Elephas maximus indicus: one gene and its partners. The protein of the gene in region 4 binds, or shares a complex with, the protein of the main gene of each other region. Links are inferred from orthologs where the notes say so. Each region holds a gene or a part of one and is shown on either strand. Other genes may lie near its edges. The genes, in order: GIPC2, TOM1, CLTA and MYO6.

Region 1 (7,371 bases), on a different chromosome or scaffold from region 4:
GAAAACTTTTATGTTGAGAAAGTTTATTGGCACCTAGTACTCTAGATATTCACCTCCATCCTTTAACTTCCAACAGAACTTATTTTGCTAGTTACCTACCCATAAACCTGTTGCTGTCCAGTCTATGCCAACTCATAGTGACCTTTTTTCCCCCCTCTTTTCCTTCTCCTTAAATGCTTAGCTCCATCTAGAATTATCTGTGGCTTTACTGCAGTATTTTCAATTTTTTTTATCTGTCTCTAAACAATTTGTCTCATCTGTACTGTCATTAATTCTTGCTACTTTCACTTTTGCAACATTCACTCCTTCCTGCATCCTGGCCCCTGTTTTACTAGTAAAAACTGATCTCTGAAAGCTCTTCCCTACATCAGAATAGCCAAGTCATATTCTTCTTCTATTGCATCCCTTTACAGAATTATAAGAAAAGTTGCCATTTCCCTTTAGTGAAAAGTCTCTTGGTGGAGATAAGTCTCTTGACCCCAGATCACTGACTTGTTTCATAAGCCTTATCTTCCCCTTGGCATGGTACTGTTGTTAGTGCTACCACCACACTGGCCTTTGGGATTTGCTCCTCTTTTAGTGCTCTGGAGAAAGCCTGAATCCTTCCCTAAATTGTCAAAAGGTCTCTTTTAAAGGTGGAGGGATATCTGAAGCCAGTATTTGAACATTATCGAAGGGATGACAGCACGACATTGGTCTGGCAGATGGGATGATGGCTTGTAGGGTGCCAGAGGAGAGGCAAAGTGCCAGTAGGTGAAAAGGATGTATGCTAAGGCAGTAACAGTGGGGATGGAGGGCAGGAGATTCAAGAGATGGTCCTGAAATAGAAACAGCAGTCATGAACTCCCTCTAAAGGAAAAAATAATCCTTCCAGGCTAAACGAATAATTTGTTTTATAAGGATCAGCACAAAGCTGGTTTCTATGAGGCAGAGGTCAAAGATATCCCAAACGTCTAACTCTTCCAAGCTGCTGTACAGCTCCTTTATCACTAACATCATCTAGTCCCTTTCCCCTCAGTACTCTTCCTCCCATCTCTGGGTTCCCTGATTTGCTGCAACGCCTCGCAGAACTCACAAACTGTATGAAGGAAATGGCTCATGTGGTTGTGAAGGCTGCAAGTCCTAAATTCGTGGGCCAGGTGTAGGCTTCTCCTAAACCATGTGGCTGCAGGGGCTGACAAACCCAAACCAGCAGTTCAGACTACAGGCTGCTGGCTCACAAGGCTGCGGAAGATGGTGAATCAGGTCACATGATAGCACCACTCCCCTGTACCCCCAGCCCAAGTGGCTGTGTGGGCCGGTGAACCTCAAAATCAAATCGGCAGGTGGGACAGCAGGCCTCTGGAGATATCAACTGATCATGAATCAGACAAAGGATCCAGATGCAGAGAGAACCTGGCCAGGACACACATATGTATCTTAGATGCAGGCCACACTCCAGGGAACTGAGTAACTTTCATAAGGGTGGGGCTTTAGTCACACCCTCCTGCAAGGCTGCAACCCAAGACACACCCTATACCAGTTCTGCCTCATCAACATGCAGAGGTCAGAATCCACAACACATAAAATGGAGGACAACAACACAATACTGGGAATCATGGCCAAACCAAGTTGACACATAACCCCAACCATCACAGGTCCCATATGCCTTATTTGCATAGTCCCACTTAATCACTGTGTGTGAGTCACAAAGACCTGGTGGCTAAAAGGGCCATATTAAGCAATTAACTCATTACAACACACAGGCTCTTAGGGTTTACAAATTATTTTCCTCGAAAGGTTTATTAAATATGTACAAACAAATCTAGGTACAAAAGGTCTTCTACAATCATAAAACAAACAAAAAAATTCAATAAAACTAAAGTGAATACAATTCAAATGAACATTATTTTAATACAGCAGATGATGTTTCCATCACCACCAGCTGCTGACACTAGTTGCTGTCAAGTCCATTCTGATTCATGGCAACCTCATGTGTGTCAGAGTAGAACTGCAGGGTTTTCAACAGATGATTTTCTGGAAGTAGATTGCCAGGTCTTTCTTCTAAGGTGCCTCTGGGTGGACTGGAACTTCCAACCTTTTGGTTAGTAGCTGAGGGTGTTAACTGTTTGTACCACCCAGGGACTCCAAATGACGTTTAGCTGAATCTAAATTGCCTCTTGTACGTGAAACTGGTACTGACAGATAATCATGACTCAGCTTCTTTTGCATTTGACTCTATCTAGGGTGCTAGGCAGTCTGTACACTGCCAAAGGTGCCTATCTCAGGGGATAAGTGGGAGTTAAGTCTGGCTCGAGAAACTTACCAAGCCATGCAGCCTAGCAAGATGCTGCACCTACCCAGATTGGTACACCTGTTTTTACATCATTTACTTTGAGCGGGTGCTTTTTCCTAATTTGCATAAAGGTGCCCTATATGCTAGTGGTAGCCCTGCCATGATGCTATGATTTATTCTTTTACTTCTCTTCAAACTTCTTTGAGTTCTTTATTCATACAATTCATTGTGAAGTTATCTGGCCTTCATTAACCCAAGACAATAAAAGTATTTGGTGCCATAGCAATGATAAACACAATAGCAATTTCTAGTCCTGAGATCCTGAGGCAGTATTCCATCATCAGGTAGTCACCCAGATGTTCCAGAATGTTTATATATATGTATGTATTTATATTTTTTAAGTCATAGAAATATAAAACACAACGTTTAAAGAGTTATCCTAAGAATTCAGACTTCTCTCCTAAGTATAGCTGCTAACCTTAATTTGATAAAGATTTTTCAGGACTGAACTGATGTGAGAGGTGAAGGAAAAGGAAGCACGGTATGATGATTCACAGGTGTGTGGTCTGGGCCATTGAGTGCATGGTAGTCCTATTTACTGAAAGCAGGAGTTCTCCCCCCTGCCCCCCCCGCCCCAAAATGTTTAGGGGCAATGATGAGCTCTGCTTTGTACATTGCCTTTCTAGTGGACTGAACCGGAGATATAAATTTGGTAGTCAACATTTGTTGAATCCGAGACAGTAAATGTGATCATTCAAGGACAGCAGACAGAAAAAGGAGGAGGCAAGGAAAAATAGCCTTGGGGAACACAATTTCTGGAGAACCAGTTGGCAAGGTGGGTGGGGTGGGAGGAAAGGAAGCCAAAAGAGACAAAGTTTAAGAAGAACGAAATGGTCCACAGAGATAGATGTTGTTAAATGCCAAGTAAAATACGGACTGAAAAAATTATTTATTTGGTGATTAAAAAGTGCTGACCATAATCAGAGCAACTTCTGATCACAGTGAGTCTAAGAGTAAAGGGAAGCTAGGAACTACAGCAATTGGAGACTGTTTTGCTTTGTTGAGGAAATGTAGCTAGAGGGAACCACCTCGAGTCAAAGATGTTTGAATTTGTGGACCCCCAGTGGCATCATGTGGAAAAGAGGAAGAGTCAACAAGTAGTTTAAAAATAGAGATCCCTGAAGAGGGGCGAAGGAGATCATACCAAAGGCCAAAAGAAAAGAGATTTCTTGGGAGTTTGGGGAAAGGAGCTGGAAGGAGTTACAGACACCAAAAACAAACCAAACTCACTGCCGCGGACTCGATTCCGACTCATAGTGACCCCATAGGGTTTCCAAGGCTATAAATCTCTGTGGACGCGGACTGCCACATCGTTCTTCCCCGGATCCTCTGGTGGTTTTGAATCACAGAACTTAGCAGTCTATCGCTTTAACCACTGTTCCACCAGGGCTCCTTGGAGTTACGGACAAGGAGTTGGGTATTAAGGGACTCACAATTCACACATAATGGCCTCCATCTTTTCCATAGAGTCAGGGTTCTCCGGAGACAGAGAAGGGCGGAGGTGGGGCAAAGGGCTCTGGGAGACTGCGGAACGGTTTAGGAGAAAAAGCTGCGAGGGGGCGGGGAGAAGGATTACTGAGAGGTGTTGAAGGCCTAGCTGAGGGTGCTCACCATAAAGTTAATGTGGCAGCAATCTCAAGATTATGTGACTTTTCCCTCCAATTCTGCCCTACAGGGTGTAAGGCGCAGAGACAGCAGATGAAGGCTGACTTCTACTTAAATCCCTATCCCCATTGGCCTAGACGTACTGTACAGACAGGAAGGTCTCCGGCCGAAACATGCGTGCCTCATGAATTTATGAAAAGCACCAGAAGTGCTTGTTTGTTTTCTGAGACGTGTGTTTTGTAGCTTCAGCATCCCGAGGCCCTTACGGAAATGGAAACATTTTTTAAAGAAAGAAGCTGGGAGGTGCGGAACTGTGCCCACCTTTCCTTCTTTTCCGAGGGAGGGCGGACGGCTGCTCTGGGTCCTCCGGGTGGAGGAAGGAGCCCCGAACGGGCGCTGCCAGGCGGAAGCGCCTCTGCCATTGGCCGGGCGGCGGCCTTTACCTGCGCGGAGGCCCCAGGCCAGGAGCGCAAAGTCCGTAGCGCCGGGCGGAGGAGAAGGCGGTCGCAGCACAGGTGATCCCGCTCCTTCAATCCGGCAAGATGCCCCTGGGGCTGCTGAGAAAGAAGAAAGCCAAAGCCAAGGAGACTGCCCAGCTGGTGGAGAGCGAGCAGCCGGGGGCGGGCGGCGGGAGTCTCCCGGACCAGGTTCCCGTACGCAGGCTGGTTTTCCACACGCAGCTGGCGCACGGCAGCGCCACAGGCAGAGTTGAGGGTTTCTCCAGCATCCAGGAGCTCTATGCCAAGATCGCGGGCGCCTTTGAGATTTCGCCGTCGGAGGTAAGGGGCCGGGTGTGCAGCCTCCGCTCCCTCTCCCTGCCTGTCGGACACGCCGCGTCGGCTTCGGTTGTGGCCTGGGGAGTTTGGGCGGTGCCTCCCGGAGCCCGAAATCGGATGCGGGTGGAGTCGGTCGAGAACTTCCCAGGGGGCAGTGGGAAGAGAGGGCGAGTCACACCCTCATGCTCGGAGATCCGGCCTCTGGGAAACCAGGGGCGACCTTTCTTCCTCTTGCGTCTGAGTTTGCTCTCTGAGGCCGGGATTCAGCCGGGCAGGTTGTGAGCAATCAACGCCCTCCCCAATCTGGACTTTACTCTCCTGTTTCTTCCGCAGGAGTAAGGGGGTTGCGCTTGGCATCGCCCCAGAGTAAGAGGGAAAAATCAAAGTGCCTTCCAGATGATATCAAACCGAGGCCCACTTTGCTCCTCATCTACCATTTCCGGTATCGACACCAGAAACCCTTTGGTGGTTATTTCCAAGAAGTTTATTATTCCAAGGGTGGATAGTTGATATACTTAACTACCTGAGACTAATTAACAAAATTCTCATGGGGGAAATCAGCTCTAAATTTTACATCATACCCTTGAAAAGGGACAGAAATTTTCTTTAATTAGATTGAACGCATGCGTTAGTGCTTGGCAATGGGCGTGATCTCGAAAGCACGTTTATGCTTCCTCAGTGTGGACGTTTATGTGACCACTTTACGTGTACCCAAGTGAACTGCAAATTTATGTGTGAGAAGTTAGCCCAAGAAAATGTTTTGTCTTTTATTTCTAGGAAAAGCACAAGATTGTATTGCCCTGGCCTGCCAGGCATGCAGTAACCCTCCTTTCAGTGAGTGGCACATAGCAGCATTTAGATTTCTGTTCTTTAATGTTGTTTATCAGGTTTGTTCAAGTGAAATTGAGGTCAAGGCAAAATTCCAAGAAGAGATGAAAGAGAGCTAGAAGTGTAATAGTTGTTCTTTCAGGGTTCTCAGGCACTAAAGGGCAAAGCACAAACCCATTTTACGAATTACTTATATTGATATATAGTAGTAAGTAAAAATAATACATTACGTTTGTTACAGTGGAGTTGATTCCGACTCATAGCGACCCTATACAGGACCTTGCAATCTCAAAAAACTTTCACTGAAAAAATTTCCTTTTGATCTTCTCTAGGGTAGGTAGGTGGGCAGGTCGTCATTAGGGAACTAGCCGCAGGGCTTGGTGACTAATAAACTTGAGAATCTAGGCTTTACCACTTAGTACCTGTCTTAGTCATCTAGCCCTGCTATAACAGAAATACCACAAGTGGATGGCTTTAACGAAGAGAAGTTTATTCTCTCACAGTCCAGTAGGCTAAAAGTCCCAACTCAGGGCTTCAGCTCCAGGGGAAGGCTTTCTCTGTCCACTCTGGAGGAAGGTCCTTGTCTTCAGTCTTTCCTTGGTCTGGGAGCATCTCAGCACAGGAACTTCAGGTCCAAAGGACGTTCTCTGCTCCCGGCACTGCTTTCTTGGTAGTATGAGGTCCCCACATCTCTCTGCTCGCTTTTCTCTTTTATATTTCAAAAGACATTGGTTTAAGACACCACCTACTCTTGTAGACTTCATCCATATAACTGCTGCTATTACATCATACTGATAGGATTTACAACATATAGGAAAATCACATAAAATGGTGGACAGTACACAATACTAAGAATCATGGCCTAGCTAAGTTGACAGATATTTTGGGGGGATGCAATTCAATCCATGACACTACCTGTTTTGCTTCAGACAAGCTTCTTAACTTCTCTCAGTCTAATATCCCTGTTTTACAGAGAGAAAACTGAGGCTTTCAGGTTCAGAGCATCCGCCCCCCCCGAATTACCTGTAGTAAGTGGCAGAGCCTGGATTCAAACCTGGGTTTTTTTTTTTTTCTGACTCCAAAATCTATGAATCTGTATTGTTTCCCAAGTTTTCCAGAGTCTCTGAGCAATAGCTCGGAAGCTGTGTTCAATATTTTCAGCTTTCAGTGCACTGACTTGCAAGATAAAATTCCAAGATAATAAACAATGTATTTTGATGTGCTATATCAAAGCTCATAAGTAATTTTTATTGTATATAATATGTGTATGTTTATGTATAAAACCAATATTAACGCAAGTTTTCCATGTGGATTAAAAAGAGTTAATAAGTATATCCAGGATAAAGTTTTGGTCATCATAGTACAGTATGTCATAAGTAACTAAGTAGTTAATTCTGAAACAGCAATAATTTACTAAAATAAAATACACATCAGTGAGGTCTCATTTCCCATCTTATTCCCCCAGCAAAGTGCATAGTGGTGTAAATAATTTTTGAGATATCAGTGGGGTCAAAACAAAGTTTTTTCCCCTCTCATTAGTAGGATTGAATACACAGTTAACTCATAAATGGATCTGCCTTTTCTCTAGAGAGATGGCTATAAGCATTCAAATTCCTTATACAAATCTGGAAAAACTTCAAAATTCTTTTTGCTTAGACAATGGTGTTTTCAATTAAAGCCTCAGACTCAAACACAGAAATGTTTATTGCTTCAAAAAGGTGCTCTTGAGATACTGACAATCGTGGATTACAACTATTCCATGGTCCCTGAAGGAGGAAGCTAATGAAGCTTATGAATCACTTAAGATTTAAATGATAGCAAGGCAGG
Region 2 (8,238 bases), on a different chromosome or scaffold from region 4:
TACTTTACCAAGCATGATGTCCTTCTCCAGGGACTGGTGCCTCCTGATAACGTGCCCAAAGTATGTGAGACAGTCTCACCATCCTTGCTTCTAGGAAATATTCTGGCTGTACTCTGTACTTCTTCCAAGACAGATCTGTTCATTCTTCTGGCAGTCAATGGTATATTCAATATTCTTTGCCAACACCATAATTCAAAGGCATCAATTCTTCTTCGGTCTTCCTTATTCACCGTACAGCTTTCGAGTACATACGAGGTGACTGAAAATACTATGAAATACAAGCAGCTAATATTAGGTCCAACATCAGTCATCACAGGTCCAATCACCTTCTGCCTCTTTATCTAAATGAAGAATATGTAATCTCGAGGGCATTAACTCAAACTGCACGTATTCTTCATTTAACTCTCATTTTAGAGTCTCTTCAGTTTTGGTTCAAATTTCGATGGCTCTAGGGTTCATCCCAGCTCTACTACTAATTCACTGGGGTCATAGTCTCCACCTTCTCCTCTCTGAACCTCAGTCTCCTCATGTGTAAAATGAAGGGACTGGGCTAGAACAGAGGTGTCATGGATTGAATTGTGTCCTCCTAAAATATGTGTCAACTTGGTTGGGCCATGATTCCCAGTACTGTGTGCTTGTCCTCCATTTTGTTATGCCAAAGAGCATTAGGGTGGGATGGTAACACCCTTACTAAGGTCACATCTCTGGTCCAATGCAAAGAGAGTTTCCCTGGAGCGTGGCCTGCACCAACTTCTATCTTTTTAAGAGACAAAAGGGAAGCAAGCAGAGAGTGGGGACCTCATACCACCAGGAAAGCAGCACCAGGAGGAGAACGTGTCCTTTGGACCCAGGGTTCCTGCACAGAGAAGCTCCTAGTCCAAGGGAAGACTGATGACAAGGACCTTCCTCCAGGGCCGACAGAGAGAGAAAGCCTTTCCCTGGCGCAGACACCCTGGATTTGGACTTCTTGCCTACTAGACTGTGAGAAAATAAATTTCTCTTTGTTAAAGACATCTACTTGTGGTATTTCTGTTATAGCAGCATTAAATGATTACGACAAGAGGTTTTCGACGTGAGGTCTCTGCACCAGCAGCATCAGCATCACCTGGGGACTATGTTAGAAATGCATTCGGGGGCTCCACTGTAGATCGACAGAGTCAGAAACCCTGGAGGTGGGCCCCAGTCAACAGCTTTAACAAGCCCTCCTAGGCATTCTGAAGAGAACCACTGGGTTAGAAGATCCCCCAGTATAAAGACTCTTCCAGCAGTACAACTGGTTCGTGCTCTAAAGTATTATGATTTAGTAGCATTCTCTTTGGACAGAAGTATTTCTTGCCTGAGGCAGGCAACCCTACAGGGTAAAAAGAGAAGCTAAGTTTTCATGGACCAGCTAAAGCCTAGAGCCCAGGTGAGCTTTTCGAGAAAGCCTCAGGGATAAGCGGTTGATTTTGAGGGACAGTTTTTTTTTCCAAGTAGGAAGTCTCAATTTTGGCATGTGACAAAAGGAGTGGTGTCTGTAGCTGGAGAAACTAAGATGAGAGGAGAGCTGTTTTCTCTTTTGGGCTCCAAAACAATGACTCACTGTAGGGTGTGTGTGCTGCCAGGACGGTGGTGTTCCTCTAGAGGGCAGCTTCTCCTCCGTGGTCCAGGAGCTTCTTGGTGTGTAATCCTTGACTACCACCCCACCCCCACACCCACCCCCACCCCTGAAGAGAAATGATTACAAAACCTCAGAAAAGCCACCAACAGCCACAGAGCTGGGTCAACTGACTTTAGTGAGGTTTGGGTTCCAAAAAAGTAAGGATGGGAAGAATGTCTTTCTGAAAGATCTAATTATCCGAGTCTGGATTTAAGAGTGAAAGTCATTAAAAAGATGAAGAGATCATTTCACAGTACTGCCCCAAGGTTCTTCACGCAACAAAGGGGTACAGCCAGACTATGACAGCTGTTGGGGCCATGGCCGCGGGTCCTCCCGGTGCCTGTGTGCAGGAAGGCGGAGCTGCAAGATTTCCCGGGATTTCTGATCCTCACTTGGTGGTTGTATCTCGGTAACAATAATAAACATAACAGCTTTTTCTTATATAGCACTGGCCATGTGCCAGGCACTCTTCTAAGTACTTAACAATTACTAACGAAGCTACTTTCCGGCCTTTTGCTTTGCAGCCGAGAGTTAACCGTTTGTGCCACCCTCCCATCCCAGTAAGGAAACCTCGGCACAGAACTCAGTCACAGAACTGCTAAGTCTCCAGTCACCAGGGTGCCAAGAACCAAGGACAAGCAGCCAGGAGTCAGGCGACCTGCGCTCTATTTAAGCTGTGGGTCTCCAGCCAGAGCTCCTCAGCTGTCCCACCTACTTAGGAATGAGGGAGGCAGAGTCAGGTGGTTTCTAAGCTCACTTTCAGCTCAAAGATTCTGCCACTCTATAAGGAAAGGCAGCCATGGCAAACAGGTCCTGAAACCTTGGTCTTTCAGGCCTGTCCTCCTGGTCGTGTGGGCTTCACAGCGCCTAGAAGTGTGCCAAGCTCTGAGTCTCACAGTGCTGGAGGCCCGGGAGGGTCCCCTGTCCCCGCAAGTCACCTGCCCAGGCCCTGAACCCTCCTCTCTCCAGTCTTGGGAGAATAGGCTTCTAGCCCTTCTCAGGCTTCCGTGTCCGGAGAGCCCGGCGAGCCAGGGAGGAGACGCCAAGAGCCCGGGCAGCACCCGTTCTAGGGAAGCGACGAGGGAAACAGTCGCAAAACCACGCAGTCCCTTTAACCCCGAAAACTTTCTACCTGGGTTCGGGACCCCCCAGCCGACGCACATTGGCTGAGCGGCGGGGGCCTGGGCCCGCCCTCTCTCCTTGCCGATTGGCTGCAATAAACATCCATCACAAGTCGAGGTTCCCTAATGGACCAAGGCCTTGTCAATCAAGGGGGCGGGGGACTGGGCGGAACCAGGCCGATGAGAGACACGCCAGCCTCCTCCACCCAGCCTTCGCTCCCGTCAGTGACTGGGGACCTGGAGGCACCCCGGGTGGGGAGCGGGCCCGGGCGCGGAGCACTGGGACAGGACTGTGCGAGGCTCCGGGGACTCACCGATGCGCTGTCCCACCGGAGAGCTGAACGGGTTCCCCAGCAGAAAGTCCATCGCCGCGACTGCCGCTGCCACCAACACAGGACTCAGCTGACAGCAACCGCCGGCGCCGCCGACCTGTCACGTGACGCGCCAAACGGCTCGCGAGGAGGAGCCGGTGGGGCGGCGCGGAGGGAACCCGGAGCGCGGCCACAGGCCCCGCCCCTGACGTGCGAGGGTCAGGCGCGTGGAGGCGGAGAGCGATGACCGCACTGCGACTTATCCGGCGTCAGCGTGACGTCACGCATGATGTCACACACCACGGAGGGCTGGGGGCCCAGGAAGCGTGGGCCTTTCTGAGCCATGCCCTCAAACTTTTTTAAAAAAGGGTTTTGGGGACCTTGGTCTAACGATCTCACTTGACACATTTGGAAAACTGGGTTTCAGGCCTGGGGAATGACTTAAGGTTGCACAGCAGGCTCAGACTACAGGTCCTAGTGTCCTAGCGCTTAGCCCCGTGACCCCACACTAAGCCCTGGGATTGACAGCCTCTCTGGCTTTCTCTGCCCTGATAGGGCTCTATTTGATGTAGAGGTGTCCGTGCTCCAAGATGCACCCTGCTTGCAGGCCATATTCACTTACCTCAAATAGGAGAGGCAAAGGCCAGGGGTTTGTGACCCCCTGGGACTGAGAGCCAACTCAGTGACTTGCAGCTGGGGACAGGCTAGAGCACAGGGTGGCCAAAAGCACACTCATCTAGTCAAGAGCAGAGCCTGGGGCCTATCTCTGCCATTAATTCACTGTGCGATCCAAATACCAAGGTTCTATCTTGTGCCCTGGATGCTGGAGTTAGATCAAGGATTCTTAGCTTTTTTTTTGGGTCACAGGCTCCCTTGAGAGTTTGAATAAGCCATGAGCATGAGCCTTTCTGAGGAAAAGACAGACACAATTTCAGAGAGTTAACAGGGTCCCTGAAGTACAAAACTGGACTCCTAGTCAATAATCTTAAAAGGCCTCTCTCAATTGTATAAGGAGGGGAGTACATGTAAGATGGTCTTCGGGCCTGGTACCTTACATGCCTTTCTTCATTTAAGCAGTATTACGTGGTTGTATGGAAAATATTTAGCATGAAATTTTTGGGGGTTCTTCCATTAACCACCTTTCACATCCCCATGTTGGGTCATCTGCCAGAAGGTCTTGCTTCACTCTAGTTTAGAGTGATCGTGGGCAGAAGAACCTAGGCTTTACTGCCAAGAATAAAACAGCCATGTTAATATTAAATACCTTTCTGAGGTAAACATGTCCCTTAAAACTGACATAGTACATAAATATTATCTTTTATATTCAAACACTTTTAGACAAAAATCAAGATACTTTGGTTCCAAAATTTAAAATCAGAAACAACCCCCATGTCCCAAAGCAGGCAGTGGAATTCCATTAACTCCATACAAACGCAATATTATACAGATATTGTGATGGTGGAGCCCTGGTAGTGCAGTGATTAAGAGCTTGGCTGCTAACCAAAAGGTCAGCAGTTTGAATCCACCAGCCATTCCTATGGGGCAGTTCTACTCTGTCCTATAGGGTTGCTATGAGTTGGAATCGACTTAATGGCAATGGGGAATTGTGATGGTTAAGGTTGTGTGTCAACTTGGCTGGGCCATGATTCTCAGTGGTTTGGCAGTTATGTAATAATGTAATTTGGCAATTATGTATTGACATAGTCATCCTCCATGATGTGATCTGATATGACCAGCCAATTAGCTATAAGGGGAGTTTCCTCAGGGGTGTAGCCTGCATCCAGTATATATATGGATGTTCTGGCAAAGCTTGCTTGCCTGCTCTGGATCCTGTATCTGGCTTGTAATCACCTGACCTCTGGTTCTTGGGACTTGAGCCAGCAGCCTGCCTGATGTCTTAGGCTGGGTTCTCCAGAGAAACAAAACTAGTGAACCAAACCCAAACCAAACCCATTGCCGTTGAGTTGATTCTGACTCATAGCGACCCAATGGGACAGGGCAGAACTGCCCCATAGAGTTTCCAAGGAGTGCCTGGTAGATTTTAAATGCAGACCTTTTGGTTAGCAGCTGTGGCTCTTAACCACTATGCCACCAGGGTTTCCAAACCAGTGAAGTGTATACATACACACACACACACACACACACACACACACACGCACACAGGCTTGGAGAGAGGGAGGTGATGTGAAACTACGGATGGAATATGGATGGATGTAGAATGAGAGAGACTTATCCCAAGGAAATGGCTCATGTGGTTGTAGAGGGTAGCAAGTCCCAAGTCCATGTGACAGGCATCAGACTGAAGGCTTCTCCTGATTCATGTAACTGCAGGGGCTGATGAACTCAAGAGGCCGACAAATCCCAAGCCCTACAGGCAATAAGGCAGGCTGCTGGCTCAAGTCCCAAGAACTGGAGGTCAGATGAGGAGCCAGATGCAGGATCCAGAGTGAACTAAAGCCAGTGAGCTTTGCCAGAATGCCAATATATAATGTATGCAGGCCACACGGTTGAGGAAACTAATTTACAACTGATTGGCTGATCACATCAGATCACATCATGGAGGTGATTACATTATACCACAAAATGGAAGATAAGTACGTCATTATGTAACTGCCAAACCACCGAGAATCATGGCCCAGCCAAGTTTACACACAACCTTAACCACCACACCTGCCTATCTTGGGTTCTTCAGCCTCTGCAGCTATGAGAGTCAGGAGAAGCCTCTAGCCTGATGCCTGACCCATACATGGACTTGGGACTTAGCCGGCTTCTACAATTACGTGAGCCATTTCCTTGAAATAAAATTTTTTTTCTCTCTTTATGTATATACACACTTCACTGGTTTCGCTTCTCTAGGGAACCCCAGCCTAAGACAGCTGTTAAAACAGAAATGGAAGTATGTGGATTTTGTCAACACAGTACCATAGATAGGAACGTGAATGGCAAACATGAGGTGTAGTACAAAACTGATTAAAACTAAAACTCATTTAATAAAAAGTGCCTCAATTTAATTTTTCCTTTTAGGTATATTAGCAATATTAATATCATATACCTTCCTGAGGGTAAGAATGGTTATATCCCTTAAGACTGACATACTACATAGATGTATTGTGATCTATTATATTCTTTAAGCACTTTTCTAACCAAGTTTGCTTAGGACTATAGATAATTGAGAAGGATCCTAATGAATTACATACACAACTTAAATTTGAAAGTGTCAGCTTAGGGTAGGAGCCTAGGCTTTGGGGTCAGCTAGTACCAATGTTCCGATTTTGGCTATGATGTCTACTGGCTGCGTGCACTTAGGAAAAGTACTTTCTGCATGTGTTTCCCCATCTGTAAAGGGGGATAATGCACCTTGTAGGGCTTTCAGAAGGATTAAATGGGATAAAGTATGCAGATCACTCTCTCTATAAGTCATTCAGCTACATGGTGGTCTCCTTCTTGCTGCCTCTCCATAAGACAGCCTTTTAATCAATCATATGATTTCACTATGTCTTTTAACACCTTGTGTTTGCATGGAAAATTTTATCTTGAAAGCTCAAATCTCCATATGCTTTATGTTCATAGTGTTACTCAACATTCATGTCACGCTGGCTGGCTGCAGGCTTGGAGACAGGGAGGTGACATTAAACTCTTTTATGGAAGGAATTTGGAAGTTTATAAAGATTAAGTGATTTATTCAACATCACTAAGTCAAGATGGTGCTGAAACGGCATGAAATACATCATATTTAACACACGATTCGGACGCAGTCAACTCTTACACAGACTGATATTTTCTTGATATAGGTTAACACTGTAACAGACATAGTTTCATTTGCCAATGAATAGAGCTATAGCTCTCAGATTCACTGGATCTGCAATTTGCAGGAAGAGAAAACAAGAAGCTCCATAACTCAAAAATTACAAAGGGAGCAAGGTGTATGTTAGGAATATGAGTCAGATTAGAAACTTGACCTCTTGTCTGGGCTGATGTCCTTTTTAAAGAAAATTATGGTAGTATATCACATGAAAAATGGAGGTCTTATGAGTTTGTAGGTAACTTTAGATAGCAGCAGGGAAAAGATAGCTGAGACTGGACTACAAATATTAAAAATGTGATTTTTAATAATGTAAGTACAAAATTTAATTTTTTTATACAACTGTAATGGGCTTTGGATCAAACCACTGGTATTTAAAAAACAAAAATAAAACAATGATATAAAAACTGCAAGGAGGTCTGAATCCAAAGTTTTTTCTCTAATAGTACCAAATACCACAAGGTACAGATTATTATACAAATGTGTACAAATTTTAAATACAAATACAATAGGGTTGGGTTTCAAAAGAAAACAAACAAACAAAAAGCAGGTCCTCATCAGGATTTCCAGAAAGTATACAAATGGCAATGGTAGGATTGATTTCTTTCTGTACTAACCCATGTCTTCAAGGCCTCTCCTTGAATACCCTCTGTCAAACAGGAAGCTTCCATGGGTGCAGATGAGGTGTGGGATGAGGGACTAGCCCAAGAAATCAAGCCAAGGTTTCTGCTCTTCTTGATTTTGGTTCCCAAATGTTCCTGATTCCTCCTTTGCTTCCCAGGTTAAATCTCAAAACTGCTCTGAGCTGAGAAAGGCATTCAGCAACCAGAATACCTTTAAAAACAGCCTCGTGACAACACGGCGCGGGGGAAGGGGAAGGAATTAAATAGGATGCAGACTAGCTGCACTGTCCCCAAGGACTTGTTTTGATGCCACAGTGCTCCATCTAGGCTAAGGGAAGAAAACACAATTACCTCAGAGCTGGGTTTTGGCAGATAATCTCACACCAAATTTAAAAAGAACTCTGAAGTGCTCAAGTATCTTCTCTCCATCTGGGAAGCAAAAGTCTGGTTCTTTGGAAATAAGGGTGGCTGGGGATGGTAACATTCTTTTTTTATTTCACTTTCTCGACATTATTGAAGGCCATGAAGGTCTTTATAAAGAATTAGAATTCCGACATAATGATTCCTTTTTGAGGCAGAATGCCTTAAAATGGAGATGATTTGGAGTTTTCAGAGCAGACCAAAGGAAGAAAGGAAGGAACAAATGACAGATCTGTATCTTCCACACGCTGCTGCTGGTGGAAACTTTTGTTATTAAATTATATATACAGAAATTTACAGGATAAATTAAAATCTAAGAGAT
Region 3 (7,378 bases), on a different chromosome or scaffold from region 4:
TTTATAAAGGTCGTTATCTACTGAGCTTCCCCTTGGACAATTCTAAACCTCTTCCCTTTCTTCCACTGGTTCTCACTTTCCTAAAGCAATTGAGTCCCTCAGGGGTGTCTGTCCTCACTCTTGCCTCTAAAATTCTCTCTCCCCAGTCTATTGTTTCCACCACCTCTTCCTTATTATATAACTTCAACTTCTCCCTATCCTCACCTACAAATGTACTCAACTGTCTCCTACCTTAACAAACGTCCCCGTGGTGTTATAGCCCTAAATATAGCTCTTCCTTCTTTCCTTGCTGCCAACATTTCTAATAAAGTCTTCTATATTTACATTTACCCTCATCTCTTATTCTATATCAGACAGAATTCTTTTATTTACAAGTTATCAAAACACAACTGTCTTAAAGGAGAAAAAAAAGTTTATTTGTTCACAGAACTTGAAAGTCCAAAAGTAGGTATCTCACTTCAAGAATGTCTGAATCCAGGTGCTCAATGATGCAAGCAGGAAGCCGTCTGTCTTCATCTCTGCTTTCCTCTACGTTGGCTTCACTCAGTCTGGCTCTCTTCTCTTGATGGAGAGACGATCACCAGAAGATCCAAGTTTACATTTTACCAGCTCATCAGTCATAACAAAAGAGCCCTGCTTTCCCAAAGACTTTAGAACAGTCCTGGAATTGAGTCTCATGGACTTGGCTTGACTCACTTATCCATTCCTGAACAAGTCATTTGGCCAGGAGATGGAATGTTCTAATTTGCCAGGCCTGGGCCACATGGTCCAGGTCAACTCCATCCAATGGATAAGTGGTTCCCCAAAGGAAAATCAGGGTGCTGATTTCAGAAAAAAAGGAAAACTGGATGGTAGAAGGGCAAAATCAACAGCTGTCCACTACACTTTTCACTCCTCAATCCAGTGCAACATGATTTCTGCTTCCAGAACCCTCTGATGTCTTTCTCACCAAGGTCACCAGTCATCTTGATGGCCAACAGCATCTGCTCAGCCCTTGCTCTTCTTCACCTTTCTGCCAATTGCTTCTTTCTCCTGCAAACTCTTTTTCCTTGACTTCTATGACCCAGGTCTATACTGACTTCCCTTCAATTTCTCTAATCTACCCCTCTGTCCTTCACAAACAGCCGTCCTCTAAGATTCAGTCTTCAGTCCTCTCCAGTCTCCATTTGTAGTCTCACTGCTCTCCTGAGCACACCTCTTGCTACTTCCTGGTCATCTCCCTTTATATCTTCTTCTGTCTCCTATCATTCACTTGAGCTTCTGAGAGCCCTCAAACCAGTGGCCCTAGCAATATCACATACTCATGGCCTCAGTGATCTTTTCCCCCTGCTTCTCACCCTGCCCCTTCCTCCAGTCATACACCAAGTCGGCTGCTTCTCTGTAGGGACTCATTCTCCCATTAATGCTCCCCATTCAGTTACATACCACTGCCCCATCCAGACCTTCATCATGTCACTGCAGGACTTCTCTGCTCATTGATCCTGCACAAAGGGATCAGATTAACCTTCTAAGCAGCACATTCACCATGTCATTCATCTCTGAAATCTTCTGCAGTTCCCTACTGTGAATAAGGCTCCTAAGCCTGGACTGCATTCAGAGCCCCAGTAGGTGGCTTCAGGTTTACCTTAAATCATTCCTCTTCTTGAGTCCTTCAGGCCCAGCTACACCAGTTTATTCACTGTGATCTAAACATGCCCTTTTCTCACCACTGAACGTTTGCACAATAGTAATCTCGTTTGTTGTTGGCTGTTGTTGAGTTGGCCCCTAACTCCTGGAGACCCCATACATAACAGAACAAAATGCTGCCCAGGCCTGTGCCATCCCCATGATGGGTTGTAGATCAGATCATTGTGATCCAGAGGGTTTTCACTGCTTTCGGAAGTAGATCACCAAGCCTTTCTTGCTAGAACAACTTAGTCTGGAAGCTCCACTGAAACCTGTTCAGCATACAGCAACACCAAAGCCTCCACTGACAGATAGGTGGTGGCTGCCCATGAGGTACATGGCTAGGAATCAAACACAGGTCTCCATCAGGAAAAGCAAGGATCCTACCACTGAACCACCACTGCCCCCTACAGTAATCTTGTTGTTAGCTGCCACTTAGTCAATTCCAACTCATGGCAACCCCACCTGTGTAGAATAAAACTGCTCCATAGGGTTTTTAAAGCTGTGGCCTTTCAGAAGCAGAATGCGAGCCCTGCCTTCTGAGGCACACCTGGGTGGTTTTAAACCTCCAACCTTCTGACTACTAGTCAAGCACTTAACTGTTTGCACCCCCCAGGGATTCCACAGTAATTTTAGACCCTCACTATTAACTCTTCTTTCTAATCTTACCTATATTTCAAAACTAAGCTGCAAGCTACCTCTTCTGTGACGTCATTCCTGAACGTACCAGCTGATTTCCCCAATTTTGAGTAAATAAATATTTGTTGATTTGACATGAGGAGATCTGATACCTCCTCTAGTAATGGAATCTCAGGATAGCTTCCCCAGTCATGCACTTGGTGTAGAAAGAATGTGTCTCAGTCCCTCAGCTACCATTACAGTGAGCAACCAAAGGCTGTCTCCCTTGGACCTACTCACGGTAGTCCCTGGCCCCATCCTCCTCACAGGGTAGTTTCAAAAAAAAAAAAAATTTTTTTTTTTTTTATGAAAGTAGATACTACATACATTGTTGTTAATTTATGCGAGAAGAAGAAGAAGATTGAGTCTGTTGCAGGCCCTAACATTTTAAGTTTCTTAAATGTTCTTCTTCAAAATCTCCTATGTTACATACTTAGAGTGATTTAAAAAGAAAATACACACTTTAAGCAAAATAATTATCCTTTGTCATCAAATATACATTTTTTTTTTTTTAAGCCACCTTCTTGTCCCTTGCTGACTACTTCTGGAGATATCTGTGACCTTTGGTTGTGTTTTTAGTTTGTTTCTGGTTCTGTTCTTACAGTGGTGGTGATGATGGAAATAGGGCCTTCCATTATACATTGCATAATATCCCTCATTATCATGAACATGATTAACTGGAATCACTCTATTATAATTTCTATGATGCAGACAACATTAACTAGCCATGTTTAACAAGTTTCTGATTTAAAAGAAATACTGAAGAAACTTTTTTTTTTTTTTAAGGGAAGTTTCTGCTGTTCTTAGTTGGGAAAGGTGTGCACATATAAGGGGTGTGGCTGGTACCATCACAGAAGTGCTGTGGTCCCCAGGAGACCTGGGTCTCCTCTTGGCCACTGATTTCCCGTGACTGAATCCCTCACACACCGGGATCTCAGTTTCCTATGAACGAGGTGATCCCTAGTGGAATTTCTAGTTCTAAAAACTTCCTTATAGCTCTGAAAAGACGTACTGTCCGCAAAAGTGCTTTTAAAAGGCGATACATTCGTCTTTTTATAAAAATGTTTATAGGGAGAAAAGTTGGAACGGATTTGAATCTATTACATTTATGTCAATCGACTCTAAAAGAGAAAAAAATCCAGACTGGATGAATGGGTTAACAAGTTTTTTAAATAATACATATAGCCAGTCCATATCCACAAACGGAGTCTTCCCTATAGGGAAGGAGGGAGGCAAGTGCATGGATTCTTGCCCTTTTACAAATGAGGAAACCGAGGCTCAGTATAACTGGCTTGCCTCTTCTGTAACCCGCCAATCACCACAGCCGCAACTTTACCTCACCTCCTGGTTCAGGACAAGAATTCCCTTCAGAGGTGGCGATCCCTGATCATTCCGGCTCCCGAGGGCGGGGCAGATACCGTGGCTTTAGTCCAGCGCCTCTCCCGCCTCCCCTCGGACCGCGGAGCTCACCTCCCTCTTGGGAGAAGCCCGAGTCACGAGTTTTCTTCCGAGGCCCGCCTCTCCTCCTGCTGATTGGGTAGTTCTTGAACGATTTCTACCTTCTCATTGGTTTCTCTCTTTTCGGCTCTCCACGCGCCCTAGACCAGCCGGATATAGAGGCAGGGTTTCCGCTTCCGCCTTCTCCCTCCTTCCGCTTGTGCTCCGAGCGTACTCGCCAGCAAAGCGACCGCTTCCTGGGGAGGTGTCGGTGGGTCGGTTGGTGTGTCTTCCAACGTCAGTGTCCGTGCCGTTGAACTGTCCGCCATGGCTGAGATGGATCCGTTTGGCGCCCCCGCCGGCGCCCCAGGCGGCCCCGCGCTGGGGAATGGTGTGGCCGGCACCGGCGAAGAAGACCCGGCCGCGGCCTTCTTGGCGCAGCAAGAGAGTGAGATTGCGGGCATCGAGAACGACGAGGCCTTCGCCATCCTGGACGGCGGCGCCCTCGGGCCCCAGCCGCACGGCGAGCCGCCGGGGGGTCCGGGTGAGATTGCGGGCGTGCTGGGGCGGTGGGACTCGTTTGGAAATTCAGGACATAGGGGATCCGAGAGCTTCTGTGTAACTCCTGTTCCTTGCTGAACCAGGAGGTTAGGGAGGAGTGGAAAGAGGAAACGAGACCCCGGCCCAGTCATACGGAAACCTAGGCTGGGGAAGCCTACCCGGCTCTTTGACTGCTGTCGGGCGCGGGCGGAGCGAGAAACCAAAGAAGATAGAATGGGTGGTACTTAAGATGGGAAGCCCGTTCAGTTGAGCAAGTTTTTGTTAAGCACTTGCTATGTCTTGAACCTGGCCTCTGAAACAGTCGCTTTAGCGCATTTTGGCCAGGATTACAGGCAAGTCTACTCCAGCAGGGAACCAGTTACGGGGGGGCAGAAAAAGTAAGAGTAGTAATTTGTTTTTGAGATATTTAAACAAACAAACAAAAACTATGAAATTCAGCATGTAAGCGCTTAAGGTGTACAGCACGTAGGCTATGGGAAGGAAGGAGGAGTGAATGGGGAGCTCAAGAAGGAAGTCTAGCCCTGGAGAAGGAAACTTGAACCAAAGACGTCCAGGAGTTTAGCATTTGTTGAGCTATGTTAGGAGGACTTCTGGAGCTCTTCTTCCTCTGGGAACACCTTTGGTAGCCGGGTGTGGCGAAACCTAAGATTAGCCTGGTTCAGTTAGGGAGGGAAGAAGAGGTGAACAGAGAATGCAGTTTGGCTTTTTTTTCCAGCCAAACTAAAGCAAAAAAAGGAGGGGGGTGCAGGGATGGTGATAGGATGCTGATTTGATCTTTGAATGCTTTGCTTGTGTGTGATGCTTAGAATTGTACAGGTGGGAGGAAAGGTGAGTGGAAGAGACCTATTCAGTGGTGTAGGGAGTTCAGCCAGAAGAAACGAGACATGACTTGTCATTTACTTAAAAAACTTTCAGTTAAAGGGGAATAAGACATTTGTGGGGCAAATAAGGGTATCTGTACCTAAACTCAAACTGTTAAGGGACCTGGCAGGTAACATAAATGAGATAAGCAGGCTGAATGTGAAACATTAAGGAAGTTTGGAGACTCAGACTTCAGTGCAGTAGAGAGTAGGGCTCTGCTTAAAAACATTCAGGCTCAAAAATCTCAAATTATTATGCCAGCCAAGCAGAACATCTGAGGGAGAATGGGGGACTGCTAGTTTGCAGCTTCCAAGTTCTCTATACTATACTGTGCTGCCTCCTAAGCAAATCATTCCCCCAAGAAGAGCCTTGGGAATCAAAAGTGGTACCATAAAGAATGGGGGTCAAGGGATATTTTCCCAAAAGCAAGCCTTTAGTATTCTCTAGAATTGGCCAGACCATGATCATGACCATGAATATATAATTTATATAGACAGGTTGGACTGAACCGGACTGTGACTGAGAGATGAAGTCGGCTTTAAGTAGTTAAGTAGTATTTGCATGGGATGGTCTTTAACATTTGCCTGAGAATCATAAAATTTACTTTTTTGATCCTTGATTTATTTCTCATCATTTAATAAAAGAGAAAACTGAGTCCTTGAGAGAAGTGACTGAAGAAAAAAGGCAGGTTAATAGCTGAGCCCCAAGTCATTCCACCCTGACTGTACACACATTCTTCTACAGTTGTTTTAGCAGGCGTGTGGTGGGATGAGAGATTGTCATTTCTTTTTTTTAATAATTTTTATTGTGTTTTAAGTGAATGTTTACAAATCAAAGATTGTCATTTCTGAAAGGCAGTTGTGGCTGCTCTGGGTAGGACAGAGTCAAGAGAAGCAGGGCCCCATGAACTAGGGGTCATTACTGCATACCTAGTTAGGAGGTTGTCCTGACTCAAGGACAGTGTTGCCTACTGTTGTATCCTTAATACCTAGCGGGTATCTGGTACATAGTTGGTGCTTACTGTTTGTCAAAGGAGTGGGTAAAAAGTGTCAGGTCCAACAGTCTTGTATAGGACTGGCAGATCTTAGTGTGATGGTAAAGAGAGAATAGAGTTAAACACTTAGGTCCCTCCTGCATCAAGCCTTCAGCAAAGGGAAGGAAGGAATGATTGCTGACTTAGTTTCTAGGAAGGACTTTCTTAGTGAACTAAGCATTTAGTGACTGAAAGCCAGATTCCTGACAGTGTGGTTGAGGTTGGTAATAGTGCAGTGGTCAGCACTTCCTTTGGGGATTAGATAACTAGTTGGACACACTCTCTTTTTTAAAGAGGCACTCTAGTATAGTGGTTAAGATTGTGGGCTGTTGTGTAGGCTGCTTGAATGTTTAGCTTTGTGGTGTCAGGCAAGTTACATAACTGCTAACGCCACTCTGCCACAATTTTCTCTGTAAAAGGTGCATAGCATATGCCACGTAGGGTTGTTATGATTACATGAGAGAGTACCTGTAAAGTGCTTACATGGAGTACCTGGTATATACTCCAGTGAATTCCAGCTACTCTTATTCCTTGGAGGTGGGGCAGAAAGGGATTTTGAGGCCTATAGGTTTTGGGATGTAATGAGGAAATTGAGAGATTTTAGGTGGGAGCTCTGTTTCTGATGTGTTGTACAGGATACCCAGACTGTAGCAGTGATTGAGGAGAGAGGAGGATATCCACACTAACCCCAGCCTTGGGGAAAACTCCTCCCATGGTTTTAAACCAAAACCCCAACCCGTTGCTGTCTAGCTAATTCCAACTCATAACAGCCCTATAATACAGAGTAGAACTGCCCCATAGAGTTCCAAGGAGCGCCTGGTGGATTTGTACTGCCAACCTTTTGGTTAGCAGCTGTAGCACTTAACCACTACACGACCAGTGTTTCCCCCATGAGGATGGAGGCAGGTAAAACCAGAGCAGTTAGACCTGAGCCTTGGATGCCTCCCTCACTTGTTACGAGACCCAGAGAAGGGAAATAAGTTTAGAGGTGAGAGGTAAACAGCTGAATAAAGGGGTTTCAGGGATTTTGAGGAAGACCAAGTGGTCAAGAACAAAGCAACACAAGTGTAGAACTATTGAAAAGTCCTGTCATAAGGGCTGAGCAGGGAGAATAGGAGAGGTGATTATGGAGCTACTGAGAGA
Region 4 (8,262 bases):
ACCAGAACGATGTTTACCTGTGTTTTATCGACAATGAAAAGGCATTTAACTGTGTGGATCATAACAAATTATGGATAACATTGCAAAGAGTGGGGATTCCTGAACACTTAATTGTGCTTATGGGAAACCTATACATATATCAAGAGGCAGTCATTCAAACAGAGCAAGGGAATAACGTCTGGTTTAAAGTCAGTAAAGGTGTGTGTCAGGGTTGTATCCCTTCACCATACTTATTCTATCTGTATGCCGAGCAAATAGTCTGAGAAGCTGGAATATATGAAGAAGAACCCAGCATCAGGATTGGAGGAAAACTAATTAACAACTTTTTTTAATATGCAGATAACACAACCTTGCTTGCTGAAGGTGAAGAGAACTTGAAGCACTTACTGAAGAAAATCACAGACTACAGCCTTCAGTATGAATTACACTTCAACATAAAACAAAAATCCTCACAAGTGGACCAATAAGCAATATCATGATTAACAGAGAAAATACTGAAGCTGTCAAGGATTTCATTTTACTTGGATTCACAATCAACACCCATGCAAGCTGCAGTCAAACCAAAAGACTCACTGTATTGGGTAAATCTGCTACAAAGGACCTCTTTAACGTGTTGACAAGCAAAGATATCACCTTGAAGACTAAGGTGTGCCTAACTCAAGCCATGGTATTTTCAATCGCCTCATATGCATGTGAAAGCTGGACAGCGAATAAGGAAGACCAAGGATGAGTTGACACCTTTGAATTGTGGTATTGGTGAAGAATATTGAATATACCATGGACTGCCAAAAGAATGAACAAATCTGTCTTGGAAGAAGTACAACCAGAATGCACCTTAGAAGCAAGGATGATAAGACGACGTCTCACATACTTTGGACATGTTATCAGGAGGGATCAGTCCCTGGAGAAGGATATCATGCTTCATAAAGTAGAAGGTCAGTGAAAAAGAGGAAGACCCTCAACGAGATAGATTGTCACAGTGGCTGCAACAATGGGCTCAAGCGTAACGGTGAGTGTGAGGTGGAGCAGGACTGGGCCATATTTCCTTCTGTTGTATATAGGATTGCTATGAGTTGGAACCAACTCAACGGCACCTAACAGCAACACTCACAATTATAAAACTCCTTAATAAGTGGTACAATATAGAAATGAAGTGGTGCACTGGAAAATAAGGTAAAGAAAAAAGAATTCTGTGAAAGAGTCAGAACAGAGAAAATAATAGTTGAATGGAGTTTTTAAGACTGAGGGGAATGAATTCCTTAGATTAGGCGGGAGGGGGAAAAAAGTCTATGTAGGAGGAATAGTCAGGAAAGGGCATGGGATATTTGAATTCCTATGGCTTTTTTTTTTTTTTTTTTATGGCTTTAGGTTCAGTACTGTGAAGGGTTCTATCATTCCATATGAATGAGTTTAAATTTATCTGAAAGGTACCATGATTTGGTAAAGGAGTGACATAACTGGATTTGGGGAGGGCGGTACAGAGAATGAATTTGAGTGAGCAGAGACAAAGGCAAAAAACTGGTGAAGGCCCGTACTAAGGGAAGATGGAGAATAAGGCCTCAACTTGGAAATAATTTATGATGTAGTAGAATGAACTAGAATTCATGACTACGAAATTAGAAGTAAAGAAGAGGAAGGAGTGTTGGGTAACTTAAAAACCACAACTTCTGGACACTGGTGACTGGTAATGCCATAATCATAATAGGCTCTGTCTGCAAGGGAATTGCTTGAAGGAGTTGGCAAGGGAAAGATAATGATTTTCTGTCATGTACCTGTGGGTTATTTAGTCTGCTTTATTTTAGGAGTTGGTGACACAGATGCAGTTGGACCTGTTAAAGTGGATGATTATCAGTTAAGCAAAGAGTAAAGACAATTTAAACACCCATGTCACGGTTTCCTATAAAAATGAAGGAACAAAACCACAAAATTTCACATATAGTGTCAGGGGTTCATGGAGCCCTTCAAAGTTTATGATACTGGATTGATGAGTCTCAGCTTAGAAATCTCTGGGGCAGAATCTGGGGAAGAGCCCTACAAATATTTAATGGGCAAGAGCAAAGATGAGACAATTACAAATATAAATAGAAAATAAATTATGATATGAATTTTGGCAACAAATAAGACACAGTGCAAAAAGCATATGCATAAATACAGGTATATATGGAATTTCCTAGAATTGTCAACTCTCTTGCCATTTGTTCATCCATCAGTCTCATTCACTCAATAGTAATAATAATAATGGTAGACACTGTTTAATGATTGCCTATCATGTGAAAAGGTCCCCGGATGGTGCAAATGGTTTGCTTTCTATAATTAACCTAAAGGTTGGTAGGTTGAACCCACCCAGTGGGACCGTGGAAGCCTGGCTAGCTGCTTCTGTAAAGATTACAGCCAAGAAAACCCAATGGAGCAGTTCTACTCTGTAACACATGGGGTCCCCATAAGTTAAAATTGACTCCACAGCAACAGGGTTTTTTTTTTTTTTTTGGTTGACCATGTCAAAGTCAGTGTGTTTGTGAAGTTCACTATCCTGCCTTCAAGTAGCTTTCAGTCCAGGTGGGGGTGACTTATATGCCAACTGAAGCTGCAATACTGAAATAAATGTTGAGAGAGACATGTGCAATGGGTGTTAAAAGAGCAATAGGAAGGAACAGAGACTTGTACCTAGGTTTTGGTATAAAGGGATTTAGGGAAAGCTTTTTAGAGGGGACAAATAAATTCTGCTCTGAAGGATTAATTCCATTTAGCCTAGCACTGCTACAATGTGATAAATAGCATTGCTGTCTGTTTTTGGACAGACAAGCACTTTACAATGGCTGGAGTGTAAAGTACAAGAAATGGAGGAAGGCAGTGTGGGCAGAAATGAGATTACACAGTTAAGTAAAGATATGACAGTGGCGCAAAATGCAAACGATTCCAAAGACAGGCAGGAAACATTGTATGAAGGCTGCTGTAGAACAGCTTCACCAGGCGTGCGATGAACCAGGGGGCTGCATGACCAACGAAAAGGCATTCAAATTCAATTAAAATAAAAAGAAAGAAAGAAATCCCTACTGTGTTGGCCAAATAAAATAGTTTGTGACTGGTGAACTAAATCAAGAAGGATCTTATGTAACTTTAAGGGGTATGGACTTTATACTATGGGTTGTGAAGCACCATTGTAGGACAAAGTAGGACTACCCCATAGAAATTCCAAGGAGCAGCTGGTAAATTTGAACTGCTTGCTTTTTGGTCAGCAGCTGAGCTCTTAACCATTGTGCCACCAGGTCTCCAAAGCACCATCATAGGAGCTTAAATAGAGAAGCACATAATAAGATTTGTATTTTATAAAAGATAAATCTGGTGGCATTGTGGAGACTGAATTAGAAGGGAATGAGGCTATAGTCTGGGAAGCTGGTTAGGTGGCTAAGGCAGTACACAAGACCTGAGACGATCCTGGCCTGAAACAAGATAATGATGGTGGCTATAAAGAGGAATTGGATGTTGTGTTGAAGATATAGAGGAGCCCTGATGGTGAAGTGGTTAACAGCTCGGGTGCTCTTAACTCTTAACCAAAAGGTCGACAGTTCAAATCCACTTAGCCACTCCTTGGAAACCCTGTGGGGCAGTTATGAGTCAGAATTGGCTGACCACAGCAGTTTTTTTTTTTTTTTGAGATATAGGTAGAGCTAGAAGCAAAGGGACTCCATAATGGTTTAGAAGTGGAGGACAAGAGAGAGCAAGTCACAGAAGTTGTTACTCATGAAAAACTGTAATGTGTCTGCTTCTATTGGTTTCCCAAGGTTTTTTAATCTTAAGTCCAAAATGAGGTCAAAGAAGTGAAAGAAGCACAGCATGCTACCTTCTTCCTCCTCACCTACTCCTCATTATTTTTTCAATTCATTTATAAGTCTTGAGTTTTTATATCAAGATTTACTTTCTGGCAATCTGGAATTAAATTTCTAAGATTGCTGCAAATTATTTCCTTTCTTGGTTTCACTTCCTCTTTCCTACTTCCCTATTTAATTCTTAAAATTTTATTGTTTTAATTGTAGTTTCTCCATTGAGAAAACTGTAGAACATCCGAATATCTGAAACTTCTCTCCTCTTCTGAATCTTCTAGATTTTCTTCAATTTCAAAGTTGCTAATTGGAAATGATGGGGGGAAAATCTGTACTTTTTTTTTTCATTTGAGACATTCAGCATTATAGTCAATTACCATTTTATTCTCGTAAAAGCAGCTTCCACTCGTCGTACAGACGGTTTACGTTTTCATTACAGAATTCAAATTTGCATAGCTACTTCATATTTAATTTTAAAATATAATCCACAGATATGTCCCTTATAAAAACAGTAAAAGATGATAGGGGCTCTAATAAATAACAGCAGGAGGGGAATGTTAGGGGAAGTCAAAAATTTCCATCTCAGGCTCCCTTCCCCCAAAGCAGAATAGCAAGTTTGTTGCTACTGAAGGCTACTGCCTTCGTAGGGCAACCCAGCTCAGCGAAGCCGCACGCATCCACAGCCCTGGGGTCCTCCCTTCTTTTCCGCACAACTTTTTCCCGCTTTGCGCTAATTCTTGCTGTTGCCAGACTATATAGTCACGCCATCGAGCCTGGAAAGAACTTGCTTTCCTGGGGCTGGAAACTAGAACCATTGCGAAGGAAGCCGTTTCCCAGGGGAGGAACAGGGACTTTCAGCTCGGCCAGGGGCAGTCCGACCCCGCGGCGCCCCCACCGTGACCCTCGAAGCTCCGCGTCGCCGCCAGGAGAGGCGGACCGAGGGGCGGGGCGACCCCCAGCGCCGAGCGCCCCTCCCGGAGCGCGGCCCCGTTTGCCCGCCCCGGCCCGCCGCGCCCCCGCCCCCTCGGGCGCTCCGTAGCCGTGACGTGCGCGGCGGCGGGGCCGGGAACTCCGCGGGGCGCCGGCCGGCGGGCGGAGACGGACCCGGGACCTGTCCGAGCAGGAAGCGAGCAGGATCCCGGCCCTGGCCGCCGCCACCTGGTCCCTGTGCTAGTACGCGTCTTCGTCCTCCTCCCTCGTCCTCATCACTCGCACCCGCGTCCTCTAGCCTCACCGGCGACAGGTAACCCCGTCGCCGCGCGCTTGCCTCTGCGCCCGCACAGGTGAGTGTCCCCGAGTCCCCGCTGCGGGCTGCACCGCTTGGGCCTCGTTTTTCCTGTTCTGGCCCTGCTTCGGGGCCTTCTCCAGCCGTCCCGGGGCGGACGGCTTGTTTCCCAAGGACGCGCGGGTGGGCGACACAGGTGATGGTGGGACCCGGCGGCGAGCGTGCCCAAGCGGCGACGGCTCGCGTTAGTGTCGTAGGTGGTTCTCTTTTCCACAGATAGACAATGAGACTCTCCTTTTATAGGTTTATCATCACCGAGGTACTTTTGTGTTTCTTCCCTGTTCCCAGGTAGAGATAGAACACTCAGGTGTCCGGTTCTGACTTGGACGCTCCATAATAGTTTTATTTTCTCTTTTGTAAACAAGCTTAAAATTCACTGCAGAAGCGTGCATTTTGTTCTGGGATGCGAGGATCAACTGTTATCATTACTAGTTTAATCATTTGGAGAATCGTTTGGGACTCTCGAAAGCAGTATTTTCAATCGCACATTGTCCAGTACCTTAAGTATGTTAATTCATGTGTGTATTTATTAATTTCCAAAACTCCTTAAAATGATTAAAATGTTCTAAGTCTGGAATTTTAATTTTAAGTAGAGAATAACTTGTTAGTGTTATTACTAGAACATCCGTGTCAGAAATACGTTTATACAGTTTCGGGAAACACCCTACGTTTTATCTGGCATAAAATATGTGGTGGAGGAATGCTTAAAATCGAATCTGCAGATCTTAGTTGGGAGCTAGGACCACAGCACGAACTTAATAGATTATTACACATTCTGAGTACAAGTTTGGTCTCTGTTGTGCTCTGGTGGTGTAGCTGCAGTATCGCTAAATATAGTCAGTGCTTGAGAGTTTTAAAAATTAACATTCTTAAGGTTTAGCAGAAACCATCCTTACACCATAAAATGTGGATCTTGAACTTGGGTTGGTAGTTGTCAGGGTACAAAGGTTGGCAGCAAAATAGCATTTCTGTACAAATTAACTGAACTAATAGACGTCTGGGGTTATGATTTTCCAACCGGAAATTGTTTAGTGGAATTACCTTGTTGTTTTTTAATCATTAGTTTTAAAAGTACCACAAATGATACGAAGTGAGCTGTAATCAGAGCTTGAAACAATACAGCCCTTCAAAGTAGCTCATTGACTTTTAAATATCCAGCTTATTTTGAGTATGTTCGGTTGCACAGGAATCACATGCAGAGTGGTAAACAGAAGTCATTTTAGTATTATGCAAATTCGTTGTTACATTTGTATGATCTGTTTGACATGCTATTTGTTTTCCCCACTTTTTTAGTTATATTTTTATTTTCAAACACTGATTTTAAAAGGCAGTGGCAGAAGTGACAAAAGACTTAAAAAAATAGGTCATGATTAAAAACTATGAACATGATATGTAATGTAAAAGTGTGTAGAATGTACATGTACTGTATATTCTTCGTTAGTCCTGGAAACATGAGTAAGAAAAATGTACTGAGCTATTGGCAATATTTAAAGTAAATTAATGCAAGGTATTAAAAAGAGTTCATATACGATCTTTCCACAGTAGTTACATCATAACCCAAGAGGCTTATCTGAAATGGATTTTTTCCCTGTTTATGTTTGTGTGATCAAGTTTTAAAATAACAGTGGGCAGGAAATCTGAGAGAGGCTGGAGGCTCTTTTCTCATCCTGTTGTGACTTTGTCTGGAGTCTGTGGTGTATCATGTAGCCCATTGTTTAGACAACTGGGCTGTATCTGGGCTCTAAAATACAGCTTTCTTTAGAAAGTTTTAAAGGTTTTGGCCATGGGATATTTGAATAAATATTAGTACCCCAAACATTAAAAAAAAAAAAGTTTAAGTGACTGTTGATAATTGAGGCTCCATCTTTGTTGTGTAAAATGTCAGTTTTAAAAAGGTATTTCTAAACTCTGTAAAATTTTAATTTCTATATATTAAAAAAACCTTATTTTAAAAGATTGCAAAAAGAATTACGACTTTGATAAATCTCAGTCTAATTCGGATGCCCATCATGAGACACTTCATAATAATTTGTGAACCAGTCCATTAGTATTGTAAGAATGTTACCCTATTAGGCATCTGCTGCAATTAAAACACTAACAGGAGCACTTGACCTTCAAAATAATTTTCAAGGTTAGTGGTCTTGCGCTTCTTTCAGGTAGTAGGAAACTTGGGGCCAGAGAGTTAAATACTTGCTCAAGGTTGTATATACCTTGAGGGGCAAAGTCTGGATTCCTACCTGAGTCTTCTGACCCGGAAACTTTTGTTCCCTCTACCAGGCCAGTTTGCCCTGATTTCAGCTCACTTGGTAGATGGTTAGATACACCTGCACAACTGGTATTGTATTGAAGAATGTAACTAGAGGTTTGAAGAAGGCACCCAGAGCAGATGTGATAGGTCATGAGTGTAGTTCTGGAACTAATATAGAATTCCAGGTCTGTTTTTTCATTCTCAAATTGACATCCTTGAACAGTGATATCATGTTGCCTTATTTTTGATATAGTCCCAGAATGTGATACATATTGTGGCGCTTTTATTTTAATGGTCTTTATGGGAACTAGAATTAGACTGTAACCTAATACTGGTTTTCATCTTAGCTAAAATGAGTAGTATGATGTTCATGGTTAGGATAAAACTTTTAAAAAATTTTCCTCAAATGAGATAGATTTTTGTCCCTAAATGCAGTAGCTGTCTTTTAAATATTATATAATTAATTAGGTAATCCCAGGGAAAAAGCTTGTTTTTAGATTATGATTAAAGTGTCACCTGTGCTTTTAGGACAGATCCTCTTTTATGGCTCTTTTTATTTTAGGAATGGCCCTTGAACTGTAATAAACATAAATGACAAAAATGAACACATAAATTTGATCTCTCGTAACAAACTAGAAATCATATTTTAATAATAGAATGGATTGGGAAAATGAACAGAAAAGGGTAGAAAGGGTAAGTTGGGTGGCTAGATTTTTACAGGGTAGTTTCATTATTTGGTTTGAAGCTTTAGGAATTTTGTACCTCAGAGCACCTGTATTCAATTGTAAATATAAAACCATCATCCAGAGGCTTAACATAAATTATTAATAGATGATCCGTGACATATCTGCTTTTGTTTTTTTGGTATAGGTAATCAAGACCTAATTAGGGTGAAGTAATTTTCTGAA

The links.
Region 1: the proteins of MYO6 (region 4) and GIPC2 are in contact, whole or in part, in a crystal structure (PDB 5V6H), measured with the Mus musculus proteins. The link is inferred for Elephas maximus indicus from reciprocal best matches to the Homo sapiens genes MYO6 and GIPC2. Residues at the interface, in NP_001034635.2 of Mus musculus: Ser1055, Lys1056, Trp1057, Lys1058, Tyr1059, Arg1084, Arg1085, Leu1086, Val1088, Tyr1089, Trp1092, Lys1093, Asn1096; in NP_058563.1 of Mus musculus: Glu255, Leu256, Tyr257, Met258, Gly259, Ile260, Asp262, Asp264, Leu265, Thr268, Thr289, Leu290, Asp292, Phe293, Ala294, Pro296.
Region 2: the proteins of MYO6 (region 4) and TOM1 are in contact, whole or in part, in a crystal structure (PDB 6J56), measured with the Homo sapiens proteins. The link is inferred for Elephas maximus indicus from reciprocal best matches to the Homo sapiens genes MYO6 and TOM1. Residues at the interface, in NP_001355794.1 of Homo sapiens: Ile1182, Phe1184, Trp1202, Gln1214, Glu1216, His1218, Asp1220, Lys1221, Pro1222, Ile1224, Leu1226, Glu1234, Met1235, Cys1236, Leu1238, Glu1242, Thr1243, Gly1244, Leu1245, Arg1247; in NP_005479.1 of Homo sapiens: Ser440, Glu441, Phe443, Phe446, Leu447, Arg450, Ala451, Ala453, Ala454, Asp455, Leu457, Pro458, Asn459, Leu460, Ser461.
Region 3: the proteins of MYO6 (region 4) and CLTA are in contact, whole or in part, in an NMR structure (PDB 6E5N), measured with the Homo sapiens proteins. The link is inferred for Elephas maximus indicus from reciprocal best matches to the Homo sapiens genes MYO6 and CLTA. Residues at the interface, in NP_001355794.1 of Homo sapiens: Met1053, Thr1054, Pro1055, Met1058, Ala1059, Met1062, Ser1087, Trp1089, Lys1090, Tyr1091, Glu1113, Arg1117, Leu1118, Val1120, Tyr1121, Trp1124, Asn1128; in NP_009027.1 of Homo sapiens: Glu47, Asn48, Glu50, Ala51, Phe52, Ile54, Leu55, Asp56, Gly57, Gly58, Ala59, Pro60, Gly61.

What each region holds. Positions count from the first base shown.
Region 1 is NC_064821.1:126,020,846-126,028,216, forward strand, and holds the start of GIPC2 (PDZ domain-containing protein GIPC2), read left to right. Parts: upstream 1-3,967; 5' UTR 3,968-4,482; coding exon 4,483-4,719; intron 4,720-7,371.
Region 2 is NC_064822.1:178,742,725-178,750,962, reverse strand, and holds the start of TOM1 (target of Myb1 membrane trafficking protein), read right to left. Parts: upstream 3,251-8,238; 5' UTR 3,127-3,250; coding exon 3,075-3,126; intron 1-3,074.
Region 3 is NC_064827.1:45,041,413-45,048,790, forward strand, and holds the start of CLTA (clathrin light chain A), read left to right. Parts: upstream 1-3,976; 5' UTR 3,977-4,107; coding exon 4,108-4,324; intron 4,325-7,378. UniProt on the Homo sapiens protein: Clathrin is the major protein of the polyhedral coat of coated pits and vesicles.
Region 4 is NC_064819.1:139,186,676-139,194,937, forward strand, and holds the start of MYO6 (unconventional myosin-VI), read left to right. Parts: upstream 1-4,866; 5' UTR 4,867-5,104; intron 5,105-8,262. UniProt on the Homo sapiens protein: Myosins are actin-based motor molecules with ATPase activity. Unconventional myosins serve in intracellular movements. Myosin 6 is a reverse-direction motor protein that moves towards the minus-end of actin filaments.